3 linked regions of the Nothobranchius furzeri genome follow. The protein of the gene in region 2 interacts with the protein of the main gene of each other region in a pairwise test. Links are inferred from orthologs where the notes say so. Each region holds a gene or a part of one and is shown on either strand. Other genes may lie near its edges.

Region 1 (3,649 bases), on a different chromosome or scaffold from region 2:
ACGAACTCTTTTCTTCAGGGCGAACGCCGGAGATTCCGGAACAGTTGGGGGTGGGATACTCTTCAGCGGGATTCCCTGTTGACAGGAAAATATCTGATTTACTAAAAATAAACCTAGTCTTCCCAGAACCAGCAAGGCCCAGGTCCACTCACCACGACCTCCTCCAGAACCTTCTTAGGAAGCGGCTTGGCCCTGAAGGTGTAAGGTTCTTCCTCGTGTTGAGGGTTCTTGGTCATTTGCCTCTCCTGGAGCCGTTTTTCGATCTCCAGCTGGAAGCCTTCAGCGACAGTGGGCTCCTTCACCGCAGGCCTCCTCAGCTCCTCGGCACCTTCCAGAATCTTCCTGTTCAGCTCCAGAGGTTTGATCTTAACCCTGAGAGAGAAAAATGATGAAAATCACGAGGCGCTTTGCAAAAACAAAAAATATAGAAAAGATTTCAAAAAGTGATTAAAAATAAGTTTAAAATGAGAAAAAACTGGAATATAACTTGTGATAAAACCATAATAATGTAAGGAAAGAGGGAAATCAGTGGATCCCGGGAAAGGCGGAGTAAGGAGAGGGAGGTGATGGAGTCACACCAAAACCTGAACAGGTGAGTTTAAAGGAGACCACTGAGTCCACTGATCTCAGGCTCAGGGGGAGAGAGGTCCAGAGTCTGGGGGCCACAGCAGCAGATGATCTGTCACCTTTGACCTTTAGCCTGGTGCTGCACAACCAGTAGGCTTTGATCACTGGACCTCAGGGACCTGCTGGGGGTGTAGGGACTAAGAAGATCACCAATGTAAGATGGTGCTTGTCCATGTAAGGCCCTATAGACCAGAACCAGGATCTTGAAATGAACCCTGAAGTTGGCTGGCAGCCAGTGAAGCTGGAGGAGAAGCGGGGTGATGTGGGTGTGTTTGGAGGACTTGGTCAGCATCCAGAAGCAACACGAGCATCACAAGCTGAGCAGACGCGGTTCTTACTTCTGGATCTTTTCCAGCTCCTCAGCCTCCAGCTCGGCGCTGCTCTTCACGTGAACCGGTCGGCTTCGCTCGCGGGTGATCAGGTGGGGGGAGTGAGGCTCCGTGAGCTTCAGGTGCTGGCTTTTCACCGAAGACGGTCCTGAAACAACAACCAACAACCCATCAGTGGGCCTGGTTCCTACTCCAAACCAACGAGGTGTTCCATTCAGCTCTACAAACCCATCCCACCTCTCTCCAGACTCCTGCTGCTCCGTAAGTGGTACCGGGTGGGAGTCCGCCTCTGGAACAGCTCCACCTGCTGAGCCATCGGTACGTAGTCCTCACGCTCCTGCACTTTCTTGTGACCGCCTGAGAAGTTGAAGGGTTTGGGGATGGTGGCGCCTCTCCGAGCTTTTGCCTTTAACATAAAAACGACGACGCAAGAATCTCGTGAGTTTTCTGCACCAAATCTGTGATTTCATCCTCTCACCCCAACAGCCAGCTCCTAAAGACGTCAGCATGAACATAAACGCTTTAAATGTTCTGCCTTGTGTAAAATCTTCAGACCCAGTAAAGATGAAAGCACAACTCGGCACATAAAACGAAACCAGCAGTTTACAGACTCGGCTGAAAGCGAGGCGGGCCGGGCGCCTTACCGGGGAGGAGGGCTTCCGGAGTTGCCGCACAAAATCCACCTCCTTCTGCACCGGGTTCGAGGAGGCCTTGACACGAGCGTCGGTGCTGAAGGCGAAGTCCTGCGGTACGGTGCTGGCCAGGACCAGCTTCTTCGGCGGTGGCCCTGAAACGGCAGCGATCATCAGACACTCGGGTTCATTCACGCTTCAGAAACATTTCCTGGACCCGAGCCACTCACTGCCGGCCAGAGCAGCCTTGTAGCTGGCCTCGTTTCGCCGACGCTGCTGAGCCACTTCGTTCTGGAGACTTCTGATTCTCTCCATCTCCAACTGCTCAGAGGTAACGGGCCTGCTCAGACACAGTTTAAACGTTATGCTGCATTTCAGCCCAGAACAAAAACACGCAACTGTTTAAATACAACACGGCTCGACGACTAACGTCTGAGTGGACTGAAGTTCCCCGCGGACAACAGCAGGGGGCAGAGTCGTGCCATTTAACCAACACGGAAGTGATTCAACTCAGACGGTCTTAGCCAAAAACAGAAATGACAAATCCTGGAGTTGGGAATGACATCCCACCTGCTCTGATGTCATTCCCAGATCGTTCTCCAATGTCTGAGCTAAACTAAAACGGGAATGATTCAACAGAAACAGGATTCAAACCAAATCTTCAGCCGGGTTAAAATGGACCAGTAAACGGCCAGAAAGAACCAAAGACGTTTCAGGTTCGGCGGGTGAGCAGCTGCACCGGTTCCACCGGTGGGAGCAGTGAAGGACTCACTCTGGAGCAGCGGAAGTGGCTTCAGGGGCCTTACAAGACTTCTTGGAGCTCCACCGCTCGCTGCTGCGGGAACCGGGCTTCCCGCCTCTGGGCTTGGGTGCAGCAGGGATCCTGCAGCAGAGATTGGAGGTGTGAAAATCAAACGCTGGTGACATCTGCAGACGTATGCAGATAACCTGCTCCCAGCAGAACCCGCCATTGTTTAATTAATGAAGTCAACTCAACTCTTTCTGCTTCTTCAATGGAGGTTCTGATGAACCCGAGGTCCCTTTACGCTTCGAAACCCTGAAACGAATCAAACGGATCTAGTCTAGTTCAGGACTGCAGATTAGGAACACCCCTGTAATCTGCTGAGAGCAGCCGCTACCTGCGCGGCTGGCCAGGGATACCGGACCTCTTCGGTCGAACGACCCTCTGGCGCTCTTCTCCCCACGATGTCACCATGTTCGAAGGTGGAGATGCAGACGCGTTTTGACCTGAGAAAATATTTCACTCACACAGTTTCATTAAAAGTACAATAAAATAAGTTTTTATACAAAAGACGAGACTGACCTGACACCATTTCCTTCTGGGTGTGAAGAGAGTGGGTCCCACTTTTCTCACCACGTTTAGGTTTCTCGACCCGCATCGCGGAGCTTCTCAGAGGGGTGACGAGGTGAGGATCTGCTCCCTCAGCACGTCGTTCTACTCGGACGTAAAAAGAGTAAGTCACATTCAAGTCTCTGTTTTCAAACGATGCGTTTCTAAAAACAAGCCAAGAAAACGTCGGCCATTATTGTGGTTTCAGTGAGAACTTGCTTTGAGGTGCTGTTTGGATCAGGTTACATTACAGCAGCTAAACTCGATTGTTGTCAAAAAGCAAAATGTTTAATTTGACAACAGAAATAAATGAGTTTATATCCTCGCTTTTCTAGAATCAGAGACCTTTCACATTAAAGCCAGTTATCTGACACCGCTGGAGTAGTTAAACCCAGCAGCTCTTATTTACGGTCTCTCATGTTAATCCTGAAATGTTAAAAATAAAAAGATGAATCAGAATCAGGTGCAATAACTAGTCCTAAAAATCAGAACCGGCATGCTTGGGCTGATTTTACTACTGGTCCAACTTTAAAGTGTTTAATGTGTCAAACATTTCTAAAAGCAGGCGTGTGGATGACAAACGAGGTCTCAGGTCCAAATGCCTATTTACAGGTCATCATCATCATCTGAGCCTAAAGATGTGATCCTCGACCCAAACCCGGCCTGGAAACAAAGATGTCCCCTTCTACAAACACCTGGACCACCAGACT
Region 2 (3,649 bases):
TAAACCAAGCTTTAATGAGAAATTTAGGCTGCACAGTATCAATCTAAATAAAGACATTTAATAAAATGTTCAATTCATCGCATGAGTTTCATAGTTAATACGTGATTATTATCAAATTAATTGCAAATTATAAATGTAGGTAACATGATAAAGTTCATGCTTCTCATGTTTTAGAAATTTATTTTACTTTTCTTTTTGTTTTATGTTCCTTTATTATCGTTTACAGCATATTATACAACAAGCATCTGTAGAAATGTATGTATCATTCCCCATTTTAGTTTTTCATATATTTTCATCGATCAAGTGTGGGATGAAAAATGCAAAGAGAGGCAAAAGAAAGGAAAACATTCAATTTGAGACCAGATTTCTTTGAAAATGTTATGAAAATCTCTTGTTACACTAATTACATAACTGAATTTACTGTATTGTATATTGCTACAAGTAAATATTGGGATATTTAAGCGTGTTGATAATTAATCGATATTTAAAAGCCGTGAATCAATTTTTTACGTAGAAGTTTCCAAGCAAACATTTACTATATTTTTTGTGTGGTGCAAATCAAACTCCGACAGCTAGGTGGCAGCAGTTTTTACCGCCTGCATTCTGACCAAGCCCCCACAATGCGTCTCAAAAATTGAGCCCAACCCGGAAGTACCAAAAATTGCAGTTCCACCCTCATCCGCTGGGGGCTGGTGTCAGAAGCGAGCAAATCCTCATTGACTCCCATGTTAAAAATACCAATTTCATAGCAGAAATAAACATGTTTACAGCCTGGTACCAAAACATGTTTTAGGTTTAATAGATCTAGTTTACAATCATGACAACTCTGAGGGGGGTGAATTTTTTAGTCACTCTTCTGTTTAAGTTTATTAAATGACCTAAAATTCTGAATAATTAATGAGCATCAGACCCACGTGACCGCAGAGCTAGCTCTGGGGAAAAGCCTCAGTAGAGCCTCGGCCTGGCCTGGAAACTGTTCCGGGATTTTTAGTCTTTGTGTTTGTGTATTCTTTTTTGGATATTATTTGTGCAATTGTTGGACAAAATGACTTGCTGTGGCATTAATTGCACTAATAGAGCGTCCAAGGAGTCAGCACTTCATTTTTTTCTGTAAGTAAAATTATATTTATGTATTTTAGGTCACTGCCGAGCTGAGCTTAGATTTTAACATGTACTGTTTAACCATGAAATTTAAATGTAATAGGGTAAAACCCAGTGCATTTAACATAATGTTGCACTTTAGAAAATGGGTGGAAATATAACATGTTGGTGGAGCTGGGTTCCGACTATCAGCTTGTGGAGCTCTCGGGAGACCGATGTTTTCCACCCGGTTCTCCCCTCCCCGCAGCTCGGCGCATCTCTGTCTGATCGCGGCTTCTGTCTGCTGTGCGGGCTGCCGGCTTTCAGCAGCTCTCGGGAGATCTCTGTGTTCCACCCGGTTTTACCCAGCGGTCAGCCCAGCGTATCTCTGACTCAGAAGCTCTGGTGTTGTGCACAGTTAACTCCGGTTGTAGCTAGGTTGCTACCTCTGTTAGCTTAGCTCCCACCTCCGCGTTAGCTTCAGGTTAGCTTGTAGCTAGTTCGACCGGGTGTCGTCAGTTGATCCCAGCCTTACAGCCACACCCTCAGCTCCACCTCTCTTCCCTTTTGTGGAATTGTCTGGGCTTGACGGAACCTGTGACACGGTCAAAATGGCGGTGGTGGCCACCTCCCATTTTGGCTCAAAAACGTATTATTGGTGCCTATGGAAACCCATTGTCCAATATTTATATGTCGATGATTCTGACGCAGCAACACAATCTGGCACTAAAGCCTGAGTCATGCTTCTCCGTCAGCTCCAAAAGGGAGAGACACGCACGGGCGGAGACATTTGACCTCATACTTCTCCGTCTCCTGGGGAGTGTTGGAAAGCAATTCCCCGCCAGGACAACAGAGGGTGTAGCGCTGTTCTGTGGTATCCTGTCATGTATCCGGTCCAAGATAGTGTGTTTATATTGTTTTTTGGAGACTTTTTAACACAGACAAATTTGTCTCTCATTCTCCTCCACCTTTTCATGGGCTCTCCACCTCTAAACCCACGTTTCCTGTCATTTCCGTCCACAAAAAAATGCTTGCTGCATATCTTTTTACTCCTCCAGTCACGGGGGAATTAAACGTTCATGTTTTTGGAGTTTTTTCACGAGGTATTCTTAAAGCTTCTTCGTGTCTGCCGCTAGTTATCCTCGGCTCTCTTTATGTTTTTTTTTGAGGGAGCAATGGCGGCGGTGTAGACGACAGCGGTACCCTGACCAATCACAAGCTTGCATTCTCCGTCTTGACGGATGGATGCTTAGAAAAGAGAGCTCGACTCCATCCGTCCTAGCAGGGACTCTCCAGCAGGCCCGCAAGGACAGATAATGGCGTTGCGTGTCTCCGCACTGACGCAGAAGCATGAATCAGGCTTAACACTGGCTGTGTCTTGGAAGCGTCTGGCCTGAGTTTTCTAATCAAACAGATGCTCCTGTACACACAGATACTGCTTCACGATAACACGTTAACTTTTTAAGTGCTAATTATAATTTTATTATATTTACAGTAAAACATTTTCCAACCAGGTAAAAACACCTGCATCCACACGAGTGACTATACAACCTTCATCTCTTCCTTGTCCTGGGCCAGCATGCTGATGTACTGCTCCTTCTCTTGGTGCTTCTGCTTCATGATGGCTCGCTGACTCTGGTACAGGGCGATGTATTCCCCTAAAGGAGAAACAGGCACACAGTAATGGTGAATATACACCAAATCGAAATTTAAAAGGGATTTTCAGCATGACGCTAATGTCCAGCCTGACCTATAGTGTCGGTCTCTCCAGACAGCTGAATGCAGCGGTGCTCTAGTTCTTCAACCCGCTCCTTCAGATCAGCTTTCTCCTGCATCAGGGAGGTGAAACGCTGCTGAAGCTTCTCCATTGCAGCTTGTAGAGCCTGATGTACCTCCACTGGGACGCCTCCATCTGGAGGGTTTAACACGGAATCACAGAACGTTAAAAGCGAGTCACATTAATTTACTCGTCAGAGTGGTGCAGTCCTGGTGAAATCCAATACAAACCACTTTAATTGTGTCTAACCTGGGAGTTCATGGCCGTGTTCACAATGGGTGTGCTGGTCCTGATTCTGGTCCTGACCATTTTCATGAACAGGTCTGTAGTTTAGATGTTGCTGCTCAAGCCGGAGTGCCACAGCGGCTTGTTGCCGGGCCGCCAAGTGGAGCCTGCGCTCTTCCTTCAGTAACTGCTTGACCTCATCTCGTTCAGCTTCTAGCTGTGCCAGAGCACCACGAATAAAGTCCTCCTGTTGAGGGATCAGAGTGTCAGCAGAGGTGTTGAGGTGGAGCTTTGATGTTCAAGGTTTGGAAAAGAGATTCATTTTAACTCATTCACTGCCATTGACGACAAAAGTCATCATTTGCATTTTTTTACGGTGTGGGCATCGGAACGAGCCCCCGCACTGTGAGAACAAACATCTCAGCTCCAAAGCCGATCTTCATCCGCATACGTCACACGTCACGTGATCAGGAAGCAGAGAATCCATTGTGTTAGGAGATCAGGACATTGTTTTGGGTCGCTGCTGTAAAAAAAGTGATGCACGAACCGGAAAAGCTTCTGCCGATC
Region 3 (3,749 bases), on a different chromosome or scaffold from region 2:
AAACTTATCACATATTCTGAAAAGATAAGTGAAACTTTTCTGTTTCAGTAAGATGTGTGAAGCAAACATCTACCTGATGTTATATGAGCAGGGAGGAGAAGGCCATTTCCAGTAAAAACTTTGCACCTATTCTGTAACCAAAACCCTAATCTCTAGCTGGTTTCTGTTACGTTTACAGCTAACTCTGCAAAACGTACATTATTCAGCAATTAAAATCAAAATTCCCTTCCTTCCTGACAACAAAAACTACAAGCTGGTAGCTCTGGACCCAACAATATTAAATGTATGTCAACAGCTTTAAGCTTAGAAAAGATCACAAGCACAAAGTTTTAAAAATTAAAAAGTTTATTTGTTCAAATAAACTGAAATTAAAAAGAGGGTTGAAAAACAGACAAAATGGTATTGTAGTATACATAAAAGAAAAAGGACACACATAAGGAGATAAACTGTGTTTTTAAAACAAAACAAAACAACAGAATCATTGGAAAGGGGTCTGAATGTGTGAGTGTTTGACAGTAGCGACTACAAAATCTCTAAGCATTGCGATCAAGGCGGACGTCCACCTCTCGGCCATTGATCTTGGTTCCGTTCATCATCCTGCAGGCCTTCTCGGCACTCTCCGGGCAATCGAATCTCACTGTTCCACATCCCTTTGACTTTCCATTCTCCATTTTGATTTCTGCGTACATTACTGGACCTGCAAGAAAGAATGAGTAATGATTACATTCTGATTTAGAAACTGTTGTTAAAGTTAAGCCAGTTATTCTGAACCATTAGTTCACAGCTCAGTCACAATGCTGTGCCAAATGTTTTAGCAGCTTTTTAATTAGACAACAAAAGATGGAATTGAATCTGCAACGTCCAGACAAAAACTTTATTAATACAAATCTTACCACAAACACCAAACTTCTCCTTTAACTTTTGCCATGTCAGGTCATAGGACAGCTGCAAAATAAAAATAATCTGTCAGATGGTTTTTCAAAGCTGAAGTTCAGTTAAAGCCAGTGCCATAAATTATATAATTATATCCCCAAAACGTATTAAGATCTGGGGAATTTAAACAATGAGGTCTAGTCACTAAAGTCTAATTAACCTCTAATCCCACATTTTAGCAGGCTTTGTATACTATAAGCATCTGACCCACACTTACATTTCTCACAAATATTTGACAGCCTCCTTTGGAGCCAGAACCTCGGTCAGACAGGCCTCCACCCATGTGGCCGCCACCCCCAAAAGCACCAAAAGCACGGTTCAAGTCCATTGCTGACATGCCCAAACGGTCAAAGCCGGAGCCCATTCTGTCCAGCGACATGCTGCCTGCAGAGAAAACATCCACAAAGGGAAGAGTGGCACCAAATTAAAGAGTAGATGTGCAACTAACAATAAAACAAAACACCTCAATGGTTTTCTACCAACTCATTTTTTATGAAGTTGGATTTATGACTTGATACCATTGGGTGACATGAAGCCATTTTCTAATTGAAATGAAAATGTTTCAGTACCTAAGCCAGTGCCCATGGGTCCCATGCCACCGCTGCTCATGCCTCCACCAAAACCACCACCTGCAAGACCAAAAACAAGTTGGGGCAGATTTTAATTAATCACAATTTTAAATGTCATCATGCACACGTACTAAAACATCTCAACAAACACCAGCTTGTGTTAAAAATACAAAGGCAGTTTTTTTTTCTAAAATCAGATCATCACCTACCCATTCCTCCAAAAGAGTCCGCAAATCTGTTCAACGACATGTCGTTGTGGCCAAAGTCACGATCCATTCCACCCATTCCCGACCGAAACATTTCTAAACACACATTATAAGATAAACCTAGAAAGCTGCATTATATTACTTACAAGCCAAAAAACTACCAACTGACAATCACTTCTGTGTGAAGTGACTGAGAACTCTCACTCACCTCCCATCCTTCCAACTGAGGTCATATCTCTGCCACCAAAGCCGCCCATATTGCCCATGCCTCCAAAGCCTCCACCACTGTTCATTCCTCCACTGAGTCTGTTCATCCCACCATAACTTGAAGCATCCATACCTGCAGAAATGGGAACAAGGTGGTTTTAAAGCACAGGAGGAATTTTAGCTACAAGCCCTTTACTCTGGTGATGCAAAACCTCTAAAGGTGCCCAGATGGTTCTCTGTGTAGCTGCAGAGACCAAACATGAACAATAATGTTTATTTATTTGGCAGACGCTTTTATCCAAAGCGACTTACAATTTATAACCTACAGGGCATGTTGTGATCTGTGGGGGAAACCGGAGTACCCGGAGGAAACCCACGCATGCATGGGGAGAACACGCAACTCCACGCAGAAAGGCCTCAGCCAAGTTTCGAACCTGCGACCTTCGTGCTGCGAACCACTGCGCCACCATGCAGCCCAATGGTGCGTTCGATTTGTCCTTGGAAGTCGGAAATCTTTAGCCTGGCCTGCCAGACTCGTCCTCTGTTTAATTATCCACAGAGAACGAGTCTGGTTACTCACAGGCAGAGGAACTTGAGGGGCAGGACTAGGCAGCTCAAAAATAAGCAATCAGAAAAAAGACGGAAACGCCGGCTGTACCGCGCGGCACTGTAGTTTTTTAGCTGTAGTCAAAAATGGCGTCTGGCGACAGAGCAAACGGCTTTTTTTTTTAAGAAGAAAGGCTTTTAGCACTTCCACTTGTTCTTTTAAAGACATTCAAGTCATTTAGAACAGAGGAAAGAGATGGAGAGAACTCCGCTTCAGTCGCCGATTATGACAAACTCGGCGTTGTGGTGTGTGACGCACGCTACTCAGCACTGATTGGCTCGGTTAGAATTCTCAAGGGGTGGGGTTATTTGAATAAGAGTTTTTCCAGACCCTTTCTCTGTGCAGAATTAAACAGAGGAGGAGTCTGGCAGGCCAGGCTTGGAAATCCTGACTTCCAAATAAGAAAAAAATCTAATGATTCCTCCCCATATTTCATATCTATTGGCATGAATCTGCTAACCAACTAAGAAGCCTGCAGCATCTTTTAAACACAAGTTACTAAATAAAAAATATGAGCGGCAGCTGACCTCCAGCTCCCCCAGAGCCCATCCCTCCACCACTCAGATGGTTAGCATTGATAGGCTGCCCTCCTGGCCCAAGGCCCATGCCTATACCTCCAAGACCTCCTACAAGAAACAAAAAGAAAAAAATGTACCTTTATTATGCCAATACATTGAATTATAAAACAGATTATTTTGTAGAAAACAAAACAAAACGTACTACTATGGGGGACTAAGTTGTGTGTGGTTAAACAGGTGAGGATTTTATTACATCAAGTCAAACATGACTTTTTTCAGCATTTCTGACAGAAATCACTCACAGAAAATGAAATGGAATATTTCACATTATATGGTGCTCAAAGTGTGGGTATTGAGTTAATCTCAGGATTACTTAAAGGGGCATTATGGAAGTTTGACAGCCAAAACATGTAGAGAAATAATAAATTTCTTCTTCATACATTCTCCTGCAATGCCCTGGTCCTGTAGAATGAGCCCTGGCATTTTTACTGTGATTGCCTGTTTTTCTGTAAAATCACAGAAAAAGAGAGCTGCTCGGGTCGAGCAGGCTGCTTCATGCGCGTTCACGCTCAGGCATAGCCCTCCAAACCATTACTTGAACGTTGTTTCAGCTGTCATCAAGGACATAAATGTTACAGATACAAAATACGTCACTGGCGCTTTTTCTAGTAAGACGTCGGACTTTCATGCAGAAGACTCAGGTTTGATT

What was found. The genes of interacting proteins can lie anywhere in the genome.
Region 1: the proteins of golga2 (region 2) and tpx2 interact in binary tests that used the Homo sapiens proteins (3 or more experiments, as listed by UniProt). The two-hybrid records come from large-scale screens. The link is inferred for Nothobranchius furzeri from reciprocal best matches to the Homo sapiens genes GOLGA2 and TPX2.
Region 3: the proteins of golga2 (region 2) and myef2 interact in binary tests that used the Homo sapiens proteins (3 or more experiments, as listed by UniProt). The two-hybrid records come from large-scale screens. The link is inferred for Nothobranchius furzeri from reciprocal best matches to the Homo sapiens genes GOLGA2 and MYEF2.

The regions. Positions count from the first base shown.
Region 1 is NC_091755.1:45,540,656-45,544,304, forward strand, and holds part of tpx2 (targeting protein for Xklp2), read right to left. Parts: intron 3,045-3,649; coding exon 2,913-3,044; intron 2,837-2,912; coding exon 2,728-2,836; intron 2,646-2,727; coding exon 2,586-2,645; intron 2,472-2,585; coding exon 2,361-2,471; intron 1,929-2,360; coding exon 1,819-1,928; intron 1,744-1,818; coding exon 1,601-1,743; intron 1,363-1,600; coding exon 1,194-1,362; intron 1,105-1,193; coding exon 966-1,104; intron 373-965; coding exon 153-372; intron 76-152; coding exon 1-75. UniProt on the Homo sapiens protein: Spindle assembly factor required for normal assembly of mitotic spindles. Required for normal assembly of microtubules during apoptosis. Required for chromatin and/or kinetochore dependent microtubule nucleation.
Region 2 is NC_091746.1:54,869,364-54,873,012, forward strand, and holds part of golga2 (golgin subfamily A member 2), read right to left. Parts: intron 3,330-3,649; coding exon 3,107-3,329; intron 2,993-3,106; coding exon 2,831-2,992; intron 2,739-2,830; coding exon 2,632-2,738; intron 1-2,631. UniProt on the Homo sapiens protein: Peripheral membrane component of the cis-Golgi stack that acts as a membrane skeleton that maintains the structure of the Golgi apparatus, and as a vesicle thether that facilitates vesicle fusion to the Golgi membrane.
Region 3 is NC_091749.1:42,880,925-42,884,673, forward strand, and holds the end of myef2 (myelin expression factor 2), read right to left. Parts: intron 3,149-3,749; coding exon 3,050-3,148; intron 2,049-3,049; coding exon 1,917-2,048; intron 1,805-1,916; coding exon 1,712-1,804; intron 1,563-1,711; coding exon 1,503-1,562; intron 1,318-1,502; coding exon 1,151-1,317; intron 946-1,150; coding exon 894-945; intron 698-893; coding exon 534-697; 3' UTR 328-533; downstream 1-327. UniProt on the Homo sapiens protein: Transcriptional repressor of the myelin basic protein gene (MBP). Binds to the proximal MB1 element 5'-TTGTCC-3' of the MBP promoter. Its binding to MB1 and function are inhibited by PURA.